Xenopus tropicalis: one gene and its partners. The protein of the gene in region 2 purifies or fractionates together with the protein of the main gene of each other region. This does not show direct contact. Links are inferred from orthologs where the notes say so. Each region holds a gene or a part of one and is shown on either strand. Other genes may lie near its edges.

Region 1 (3,754 bases), on a different chromosome or scaffold from region 2:
CTGTGAATCCTAGCAGTTCACATACTTTTGCCACACACATATGTGTGTGTGTGGCAACTTTTTTCAATAAATCAACTAGTGTAATGTTTTTAACTCATTTGTTTAAATGGGTACTTAGTATCAAGTTTTAGGTGGGGAAAAACAGATCATGTTTTTGATCAAATGAATGCAGGAATATTGGAAATTCAAAAAGGTTCACAAATTTTCCAGCACCATTGTATTAGACCAGTAATCCCTAACCATTGGCTTATAAGCAACATGTTGCTTACCAACCCCTTGGATGTTTCCCAAACAAGTTATTTTTGAATTTCTGACTTGGTGGCAAGTTTTGTTTGAATAAAAACAAGGTTTACTACAGGTATGGGACCTGTTATCCAGAATGCTCGGGACCTGGGGTATTCCGGATAAGAGGTCTTTCAGTAATTCGGATCTCCTACCTTTAAGTCTACTTAAAAAAAATATTTAAACAGTAATTAAATCCAATAGGATTGTTTTGGCTTCAATAAGGATTTATTATATCTTAGTTGGGATCAATTACAAGGTAGTGTTTTATTATTACAGAGAAAAAGGAAACCATTTTTTAAAATGTGAATTATTTGATTATTGAGTCTATGGGAGATGGCCTTTCCGTAATTCAGAACTTTCTGGATAATTGGTTTCTGGATAATTCAAGTTGTCAGTGTTTCCCTTATGACTGCAAAATTGGTATCATGTTTGGTTGTTTGACATATGCGTGTGGCCACCAGGCATAGGCTGAACTAATTTGTGCCCGAAAAATAGCAGCCAATCAGTATGAAGCAAACATCTTATTGGTTGCTATGGGTTACTGCTCTTGGGCATACTTTTTTTGCTTTTTATTATATATATGTTCCATGTGCACAATTTAATGTATCGTCATCATTTATTTATATAGTGCCAGCAAGTTATGCAGCGCTTTACATTAACTTTTCAGAATGAGTACACAGAAAAAATAGCTTCTAAATTACCAGTGTAAGTTTGATATTTTAAAAAAATTAAATAAAGCTGAATTTGCAAAGTAAGCCTTCTTAACCTACAAATACTAATTTGCAGTGTTCTTCTGTCTCAAAGGTTTCCTCTTGGAGTGGACGTGGCATATTTATGGCGATTCGGCGCATAAGAACAGAATACTGCCAGGCTCAGCACGGCTTTGGCGCGGACAAGTGAGCTGAAAAGTCTGCCTCTTTGAGCCCACCCTCCAATCATCAGCCTTTTGCCAGCTGCAGTAAAGCATATGGGAGTTACTATTTATTTTCATACCTTGAGACCATCTTGCTTTTGCAAATTAATTTTTCCTTTTGTGAAGGGAAGACTTTTACAAAGTGGGGACTAAGTGCGGAGGCCATCTCTGCAGTTATTTTTTCTTTTCCAAATGAGTGCCTCCTTGCCATAAAGACCATTGGTCCATTTTTTTTTTTTTAATTTCTTTTTCATTTCCCTTCCATAAGTTATGTAAGAAAATTCCATTGGATGCTGTACTGCATCCCTCACAAAGTGCTTGATTGCATTAAAACCATCGCTGGGACTTTTGCAATAAGTCTTTTTTTTTTTTTTCTTCCTGCAAAAAAATTTTTTTTTTTCTTTATAGAAATTTTTAATATTTTTTGCTGTGAATTTTTCAGGATTTTTTCCCAAGAAATATCCTTATTTTTTTAATCTGATCAAAATGAACCGTCCAGCTCCAGTAGAAATCTCTCATGAGTGCATGCGTTTTCTTATTACCCATAATCCAACCAATGCCACACTCAACAAGTTCACAGAGGTAAGAATCTACATGCAGTATCGTCTAGGCAGTTGGCTATACCAATGAACTCAAGCAGTTCTAATACAAACCACAGAAAAAATGTTTTGTTTTCATTATTCAGTGAGGTATTCCATTCAGGAAGGATTTTTTTCCTCAATTGACCCTGCATTAGTAGATGGGTCTATATTGATTTACTGGAATTTGTGGCTAATGGTAACCGCTACTATAATACTTAAAGGGATGGTTCACCTTTAATTTAACTTTTAGCATGTCTTAGAATGAACAATTCTAAGCAACTTTACACCTGGTCTTTATTATTTGTTTCTTATGGTTTTTGAATTATTAGCCTTTTTCTTTAAAAACTCTGTAGTTTTGAAGAGGGGGTCACTGACCCCGACAGCCAAAAACTATTGCTCTGTGAGGCTACAGTTTTATTGTTATTGTTACTTTTTATAACTTTTTTCTATTAAGTCCCTCTCCTATTCATATATCAGTCTCTTATTCAAGCCACTCCCTGGTTGCTAAGGAGAACAACTCCTATAAAATATGATTCCCAAAAAATTGTGAAAAAAATATGCCGTTAGTTACCACATATTGCAAATAGTGATGAGTGAATAAACGTAAAAACTGCGCCATAAGGAAGAGGTGAAGGGGGTCTAGGCAATGATAGTTAAGGGGGCTTTTTCCACCCAATGGTATAGTTCTCCTTTAACCTGTTTCATACGTTAATTGTACCTGCAGCAGTGCACCTCCCAAGAAGCATTGTTCTTTAGAAGTACAACAGGTATAGGGTCTCTTACCTCAGAAAGCTTGAATTATGAAAATGTAGTTATTTGAGCAGAAAATTCAATATCTTTTCCTCCTTTTTACTGTTTTATTACCCTTTCTCTTTAGTAATAATACAGTACCTCGTATTTGATGGTAACTAAGCTGCATGAATCCATATTGATGGAAAAGCAATCCTATTGGGCTTATTAAAATGTTTAAAAGTTTTTTTTTGTAGGCTTATGGTATGGAAATACCTTTGGAAAAATCCCACGTCTTTGCAGGTGCAAAGTTTTAATCATCACAACCTAAAAATAATGTTATCAGAATGCCCCATGTGCAAATATCCCATTTTGTTTTTCATGTTTTAGGTTGATTTTATTTTATCACTTTTTTGTTTGCAGAAAAGTGCACTTCAGCAAGACAGTAATTGCTTTTAAAGTGCATTGTATTTTTGTGTTCCTTTAATGTTTTATAGCTTGGGTTTTAATTACTCAAATGTAATCTTCACCATGTTTTTCATATTGCAGGAGCTAAAGAAATATGGAGTTACCACCCTTGTGAGAGTATGCGATGCAACATATGATAAAGCACCGGTAGAAAAGGAAGGGATACAGGTTTTAGTAAGTATACTACTAGCCTACTGACTTACTCCGGTGAGGAGCTTAAGTTGAATTTTGTATTCATTTGTTTAATTGAAGTTTATCAGTGCCACATGTCTGTGGTACCCTGTGAAATGAAGAATATGGCTCGCCCTGTGTGAATTTCAAAATTAAATATAAATAAATATGTTTGTGTCTTAGATAAACTGATTGCAATGCAGGATTCTGCTGGAGAAGCTCTATTAACTTGTTAATGTTTTCTCATGACAGTATTGCAGTAAGACTTATATCAAATGAGGGGCAGCCTCTGAGAAAATGCAGGCAGAGAAAAGTCTATTCACTCCACTCCGTCTCTACAATGACAGGCCTGTTTGCAGACACGTGGAGCAGATATCTGTGCGAAAACACAAAACTATGTGTGTTTACATGATATCCACTCCCTTTGTCTGTACACAGTCCAATGCTGTCTATCGGTGAGAGACACTGAGCAGAGGGGAGCACGTGGGCACTACCTGGAGAGAGTGCAGGCAGAGAGAAGTTGACTCTGCACTTCATGTGACATTAGCCTATGGGCGATGACACACGGGATAATTTGTCTCCGCGCAATGTCATCCCACCGGCTGGA
Region 2 (3,654 bases):
TTCTATGGTAAGTAGTCAACAAATACAAACAGCTACTATATTCTGCATATACAGAAACACTTCTTACCTGACCTGCATGGGATTCAGAACCTGGCCTGCAACCAAAACCACCATCAAAGTTCATACAAGATAAAACAAATTCTATGGCTTTTTCTATGTTAATAGCATCCAGCCTGCCCTGCAAGAAAGATTTACATAATTTAATACTTAAATTAGAACCAAATTAAAAGAATATTTTGCAATTAGAAAAATGAAAGCAAACATGAAACTTGGGGAGCAATTTAGCTTTTTTGTTTGTAAATAATCCTTACAGGCAATTAATAACCTAGTCCCCCCCCCAAAAAAAATTAACCCTTTACAGCAAATATAATAAATAAAACGTTTAGGCTAATGGCACATGCAGTGTTTCTTAATACCCCTTTCCCTGTAACTGAAATTTCCCCTTGCTGTCAATGCTAAAAATCAAAACCATTTAATTCACATTATGTGATCCAATTGTGAGCGTCTAATCATTTGACATAATTAGTTGTTTAGGAATCACAGCAATGTCTCAACATACACTGTAATGTTTAGAAACATTTTAAATAAGCCTAGCATGTATATAAAAAATGTAGCAATCCAAATGTTGCAACTGGACAAATGCAAATGACAACAAATCATAAGCCTTTTCAACTGGAAAGAAAAAAATTGCAGCATATTAATTTAATTATATTAATAGGCCATTAAATCCTATGAATTTTCATAGGAATGTGTCAGCATAACTTTAAACAATAAGAAAAGCTGCTGTGGGTCCACATTAGACAGGCAGGAATGAACCACAGCCTGAACAAAGGGCTACCACATCTCCATATTAAAGAGGCAATAACATACATGCAAAGCATGGAATTTAGTTTTTTCTAGGAAATAGTAGCCCCCTCAATGTGTGACACAGTGCGTGTTTATGTATCTTACAGTGTAAGTACATGGTGTCGCTGATAAGCCAACATGACTGCACTATAACAGAAGAATGCATTGTGGCATTCTGCAAATCTCATAAAAAACGCACATCTAACTTACCAAAAGGGCAAGTGTTGCAACAGCACAGAAAGAAAATCGTGTATCAATCTCCCCTGCAACATGAGAGAAAAACAGAATCAATATCCTATTTCAGAATGTTAAAGAATGTATCCAGGAGTGTAAGACCAAGATGTTTTTGAGCTTAAGTCTTGGAGCTTTAGTCATATTTTAGAGATTAAATTGTTTAACAAGTAAAAGAAAACTATTTTACCCCATTTGTCTCCAGCAAATGATCCATCCTCTTTTTGAAGGCTTTGCACATAATCAACAATTCTATTGCTGTCAACTGCAGAAAGGCTATCGTACAGTGTGAGGATCTGAAGGTAAAAAAAGTCAAATCAAAGGGAAGCCTGGCAAAAGCATAGTATAAACAATTATATACATTTTTTACATTAGCACTCAGTAGTAAGAAATACAAGTCCTGCTTGGGACTCCACCAGTTACATAAGAGTAAGAGAAACAATAGGTTATCTGAAAGCAGTTCTAATGTGTAGCACTGGCTCCTTCTGAAGGCTCAGACGCAGGCACAATGCACTGAAATGGCGGTTTACACACCAATATTAAAACTAAAAAAAATAAATTTGTTGATTCAATAAAATTTTAAATAGTAGAGTGAATTATTTACTATGTAAATAATATAATTTAGAAATAAAAAGTACATCATAAGAATCATGACAGTATCCCTTTAAGACAGTGGTTCTCAACCTTCCTAATGCCACAACCCTTTAATACAGTTCCTCATGTTGTGGTGACCCCCAACCATAAAATTACTTTTAAGACCATCGGAAATATGGGGCGACCCCTGTGAAAGGGTTGTTCGACCCCCACAGGTTGAGAACCGCTGCTTTAAGACATACTCATAAATCTATATGCCTGCTCCTCCTACCACCAAACACCTAAATGGCCCACAGGCAACATAGGCCAGGCACACACATAGTAGGGTAGGCAAAGTACAGCACACATAGGCAGCACTGGGCAGGTAGAGTATGGCACACATGGGTAGGCAGAGTATGGCGTATACAAGCAGCATAGGGCAGGCAGAGTATGGCACACACAGTCAGTGCACACAGTCAGAGTAGGGCAGAAGACAGGGAAACCAAGACCATGCAAGTAACCAATCGTGTACAGTGACGCAATGCTGGTATCACTCCTGCGTCTGAGGTGTGAACAACATAACAAGGCGGGCACTTAATGGGCTATTTCACCTTTAGGTTAACTTTTAGTGTGTTATAAAATGGCCCATTCTTAGACACTTCTCAGTTGGTCTTCATTTTTTATAGTTTTTTAATTATCTGCCATCCTCTTCTTCCAACTTGTAAATGAGGTCACTGACCCAGCTGCCAAAACAACCTATTGCTCTGTGAGGCTACAATTCTATAGTTATTGTAACTTTTTATTACTTATCTTTCTATTTACGCCCTCCTTTATTCATATTCCTGTCTCTCTTTTAAGTCACTGCCTGGTCGCTAGGTTTAATTGGACCCTAGCAACCAGACGGCTGCAGAAATTCCAAACTGGAGGGCTGGTAAACAGAAAGCTAAATAATTCAAAAACAGCAAATAATGAAAAATGAAGACCGATTGCAGAATAGTATTCTCTACATCATACTAAAAGCTAATTTAAAGGTAAACATCCACTTTAAAGGCTAAGGTATGAACAATGCAGGGCCTTACAAGTGTGCCCAGAGTGGCTTACAGCCTGAATCTGAGGTGTTACCAGTACAGGGGGCCAGTTAATCTCAGTACTGATACCATTTAAAGCTTTCACAAAGGTAAGCAGTCACAGCAGCCAGACTTTTTCTTTTTTTAATTCAGGTACTTTTTATTGAGTATACATTGGGCATTACAGTAGTTGAGGTATACAATTGTCAAACATGGAATATATGGCCTGTTAACATTGTCAATAAAAGTTTTTCACCAAGTAAATAGAGTTTTATTGCACAGTAATACACATTCTGGTTATAGTTACTTATATATGGGTGAAACCCTATAACTGTATATATTTTATTAGTCATTTACTATAGTGGGGAGGGGGTATTTATCCAGCCATTGGTCCCAGATTTTATGGAATTTGTTTGGGCTTCCTCTTTTGAGGTATATTAGTTGTTCCAACTTGACAGCAGCCAGACTTTAATGGAGGCCACGGGCCGGCACTAATCTAGAGACAGACACACATATAATGGAAAATGATTTAAAAGAATAGGGCTTACTCTGCCATATTTTAAAAAAAAAAAAAAAGCAAAAACAAAAGATGAGCTAAAGAAAAAGAGCCAGAAGTGAAGGTTTAAAGAAATAACTCGAACCACCAAAGACAACTAAGGCCTGAAACAAATACCCTTAAAGGGACAGTGTACATCCCTTTTGAACATGAACTCAAAGTCTTGCATTTCTTTGCCAGGATCCACTGCATGTTCCTACACCCAGGCCAATACAATGGTCCCAGATCCAGGCAAAGTAGAAGGCTGATGCCGTGTAGGGGCTGATTGTCGGCCTGCATTTTTCCCCACAGGCGAGGAACAGCCATGTGGCATCAGCCTTTGGTCAGTGAAAATAGCTCAAATTTCATGAAATGGCAAAAAATAGGAAAATATGGATTTTT
Region 3 (3,754 bases), on a different chromosome or scaffold from region 2:
TACGTGTGTTTTAGCAGATGCAATTCTCAGTATTGTCTATGGCAGGGTATTTTCTGGAGTTTAGTAGCCTTGAAAAAGTAGCTGCTACTAGTAGCCCAGTGTGTCTTCACCCTAATTGGTAAATATCTGCCCCTTGTTTGCACAAAAATAGCAGCACCCTCAGACAGCATCCTAAAACACGTAGGGTTAGTTTTTTTTTATATATTTTTCCACCCATTGACTGCTCCTGAATTAGCCATTATGTGGAAAACCTGGCCCATCTACAAAAAAAAAATACTAAAAAGATCATTAATTTCACGAGGACCAAAAAAAAAACCTTTTTCCTTTTTAATCAATTTTGGAGAAGCAGCTCTGATGGCAGCAAGTACTACTGGCAACTAATAGAAAAATGTTTTATTTTTCAATTCCCTGGCGCATACTACTTATGCTCTCAGCAGAAAATATAAATGCCTTCTGAGGCAACATTGTGGGCAGGGCGGCAACCAACACAAAAAAAAAAAAAAAAGTATTTTTCTGTTCTCTAACACATGTAGGAGGTGCGAGCAGAGCAAACCAGTCTGTGAGTGGACCTACTTCCACTTCTTAGCTGCTTCCGACTGTGTATCTCTAACTTCCGCCATCCCTGCGTTTCACTCCAACCAGGCGGCTACGAGATGCGTCATTGCGCTTGCGTGTAGTCGTGACGCCACAGTCTCGCGTGATGAGACTTGTGGCGTTGGGATTTCCTGTAAGACAGGCGGCAAGGAGCTTGCAATCAACAGCTTTGCGGGACGTGTGAGTAGCCATCCGGACTGCGGGCTGTGTTGGGAAAATAGGGAGTGTCCGGGGAATGCTGGACTGTTGGGGATTATGCTTGGAGGCCTTCAGAGTTTGTATGCTTGTACTAATGTAGAGGGGCCTCTGTACTGGTACATACAGAAAAGATGCATTTGTTGCCCTTCACTTCAATGGGTAATTATCGACTTGGTCTCTTTTGCTGGGTCAGTAGCCTCATTGCCCATGTGTGGGTGTCAGAATATTTGTCTCCTCTACTGATTTCTGAACAGGGCTCGAAATAATGAGGTTTTTTTTGGCAGAGGCATCAATAATCATATCAACCAAAATTGCCCCTACGAAATGGCTGGCTAATGGGGCAAAGAGTCTGTAATTCTGGCCTAATTATTAGGTTGTGAATGTCCTGCTTTATGGAAGTAATATAACTTGTGCCTGTAAATGTAGAGACAAAAACAATGGGGTGGTTGTTCATTTCCTGTTTAGAGTAATACTCTGAAATAGCAGGAATCTAGGTATGTGCATGACTGCTTACTTCCATAATATACCATTTATCATTTTTTGAATAGATAACCTGTTTGTTTGTCTGTATTTTTCTTATTAGTTCTGCTGTGACAGTTCAGGAAAGAAACTTACCTTACTATTCTCATTTGAAGTTGAACTGCTTCCTGGTATTGGACCCAAAGTAGGCTGTGCAAAGCAAGAACTGCCTTTTGTACTCTGAATCATCCAGCAGAATCATTTCAACAGTCTCCCTAGATAACAACACTGTTTCCAGGAGGATATAACCAACTTGGATCCTAAGTCAGAACACTAGCCCCATCTTCACTCCAACCTGACGTGGTGTATGTGCTGTGTGACCCCACTTGTCCGAGCCCATGAGGGAGTACAAGGTGGTGGTGTTAGGCAGTGGTGGGGTTGGGAAGTCAGCCCTAACTGTCCAGTTTGTTACGGGCACCTTTATTGAAAAGTATGATCCTACAATTGAGGATTTTTATCGCAAAGAAATTGAGGTGGACTCATCACCCTCTGTGCTGGAGATCTTGGACACAGCAGGCACAGAACAGTTTGCTTCTATGAGGGATCTTTACATTAAGAATGGCCAGGGCTTTATCTTGGTGTACAGCTTGGTAAATCAACAGTCATTCCAGGTGAGATAACCAGTTCCTTCACATACAGTGCCAAGTATGAATGAAAATGTTACATGTCAGTGAATTTTTAAATAGTTTACTATAGTGATGCAAAGAAACACCCATTGCTACGTTATAGAAATCTTGCTGATTTGCCAGATTTTGCTTTGCACTTACAGAGGCAGCATACCTCTTAAGATTAGTTAAGCTTGTGCTGAACATACTTTTTTCCTATTAATTAAGACATATGTGTTGGCTAAAGAGAGTAAGCATTAAAATCGAGTAATGTCACATGCTACTTCCTGTTTATACAAGCACAATTGAGAAAAAAATCACTAATCCGCTAAGAGGCCCTTTGTATAATAAGCTGCTCTTCTCACAAAGACTGCAGTCGGGGAAGGGGTTTGTTTATGCAGAAGGCTTCTCAGTGGATTTTTGGTGTGTGCTTTTAGAAGAACAAAAGTAGAGTATGACCTATTTCAGTTTAAGATTTTGCCAAATTTAGTTTAAACAACAACAATTTCTCAATTAAAGCAACAGGCAAAAAGTATGTTCACCACAAACCATATCCTCTGACAAAAAGCAAATTGTGCACCTTGGATTTAAAAATCCAATATCTTTATTGTTTCAGTATAATAACATAGCGCAGCTAAGAGGATTTCAGAGGAGATCAAAGGCTTTATGTGTTTAATAGCCCCAGGCTACTTTTTTAGAACCACAAACCATATTCATTGATCTAATGTTGAAGAAGAGGGTGTACTGCCCCTTTAACCTGGCCATATGCTGAAAATTCAAGTTTGGCCAGTTTGCCAAGCGAGTGGATCTTTGCCCAATTTGGCCACCCACGGGATGGCATACGTGCTGTGTGTCAGGGAAGTACATGTATAAATATCTCACTTTGGGTCTGTCAAGCCCTATAACTGTTATTATACATCAGAAGTTAAATGTTTTCAGAGTATGTGAGCTGTATAAAGGCTATTTCTGACTCTTTCTTTTTGTGGTCACATAACTTTTTGGAGATTTCTAATATTTTTGGAATTTACAGTAGGGCCACTGTATAATATTTTTTTCATAGTTACTATGGTTTTCTTGTGTCAAAAGACCAGTAAGTCATAAAGGGATTTATTTTTTTACATTTAATGTTCATCCAGCACCTAATATACTGTTTATTGACAAATGTAGGGCCTGTTTTGTATAAGAGTTTTTCACTCTGTAGTTATGTAGAGAGTCATTAAAGGGATGGTTCACTTTTAAGTTAAAATGTAGTATCTTATATAATGGCCTATACCTAGCAACTTTGCAAGTGGTTTTCATTACTTATATTTTATAGTTTTTTTAATTATTTGTCTTCTTTCTCTGACTTTTTCCAGCTTCCTAATGGGGTCCAAAAAAACTATTGCTTTGTGAGGCTGCAATTTCATTGCTGTTACTTTTTATTACTATTCAGGCCCTCTCCTATTCATATTCCATCTCTTCTTTAAGAGTACTTTTATAAAAAGTTCTGCTTGGATTAAGCACTGTAATGATTAAACTGAGCTCAGGAGAGGAGGTTAGGAGAGAAAAACATTTCCCCAGCAGAGTGCACAGCTAGAACAGAGTTTCTATGGGAACCAGCAGTGCCATCTCTTCATTGGCTGCTAGACTGGATGGGATGTCTGGTAATGAGTTGAGAAGAACTGTGCATGCTCAGTTAAGGTGGCCATAAACATGCAGATTTAAGCTGCCGATTTGAGTCCTTTAGACAGATTCGGCAGCTTATCTGCCCATGTATGGGCATCCCCGACCGACATCTGGCCTAAAATCGCCCAGACATTGATAAGGCAGGTTTGATTCTCCGTTGGATTGGGAAACAC

What was found.
Region 1: the proteins of rabggtb (region 2) and ptp4a2 purify together in Homo sapiens (affinity purification with mass spectrometry; 3 studies listed by BioGRID and IntAct, counting the BioPlex papers as one, with this or other methods). This does not show direct contact. The link is inferred for Xenopus tropicalis from reciprocal best matches to the Homo sapiens genes RABGGTB and PTP4A2.
Region 3: the proteins of rabggtb (region 2) and rap2c purify together in Homo sapiens (co-immunoprecipitation; 3 studies listed by BioGRID and IntAct, counting the BioPlex papers as one, with this or other methods). This does not show direct contact. The link is inferred for Xenopus tropicalis from reciprocal best matches to the Homo sapiens genes RABGGTB and RAP2C.

What each region holds. Positions count from the first base shown.
Region 1 is NC_030678.2:86,676,304-86,680,057, forward strand, and holds the start of ptp4a2 (protein tyrosine phosphatase type IVA 2), read left to right. Parts: upstream 1-1,334; 5' UTR 1,335-1,684; coding exon 1,685-1,780; intron 1,781-3,057; coding exon 3,058-3,150; intron 3,151-3,754.
Region 2 is NC_030680.2:81,024,595-81,028,248, reverse strand, and holds part of rabggtb (geranylgeranyl transferase type-2 subunit beta), read right to left. Parts: intron 1,374-3,654; coding exon 1,268-1,373; intron 1,110-1,267; coding exon 1,057-1,109; intron 179-1,056; coding exon 68-178; intron 1-67. UniProt on the Homo sapiens protein: Catalyzes the transfer of a geranylgeranyl moiety from geranylgeranyl diphosphate to both cysteines of Rab proteins with the C-terminal sequence -XXCC, -XCXC and -CCXX, such as RAB1A, RAB3A, RAB5A and RAB7A.
Region 3 is NC_030684.2:67,494,549-67,498,302, reverse strand, and holds the start of rap2c (ras-related protein Rap-2c), read left to right. Parts: upstream 1-1,375; 5' UTR 1,376-1,649; coding exon 1,650-1,922; intron 1,923-3,754. UniProt on the Homo sapiens protein: Small GTP-binding protein which cycles between a GDP-bound inactive and a GTP-bound active form. May play a role in cytoskeletal rearrangements and regulate cell spreading through activation of the effector TNIK.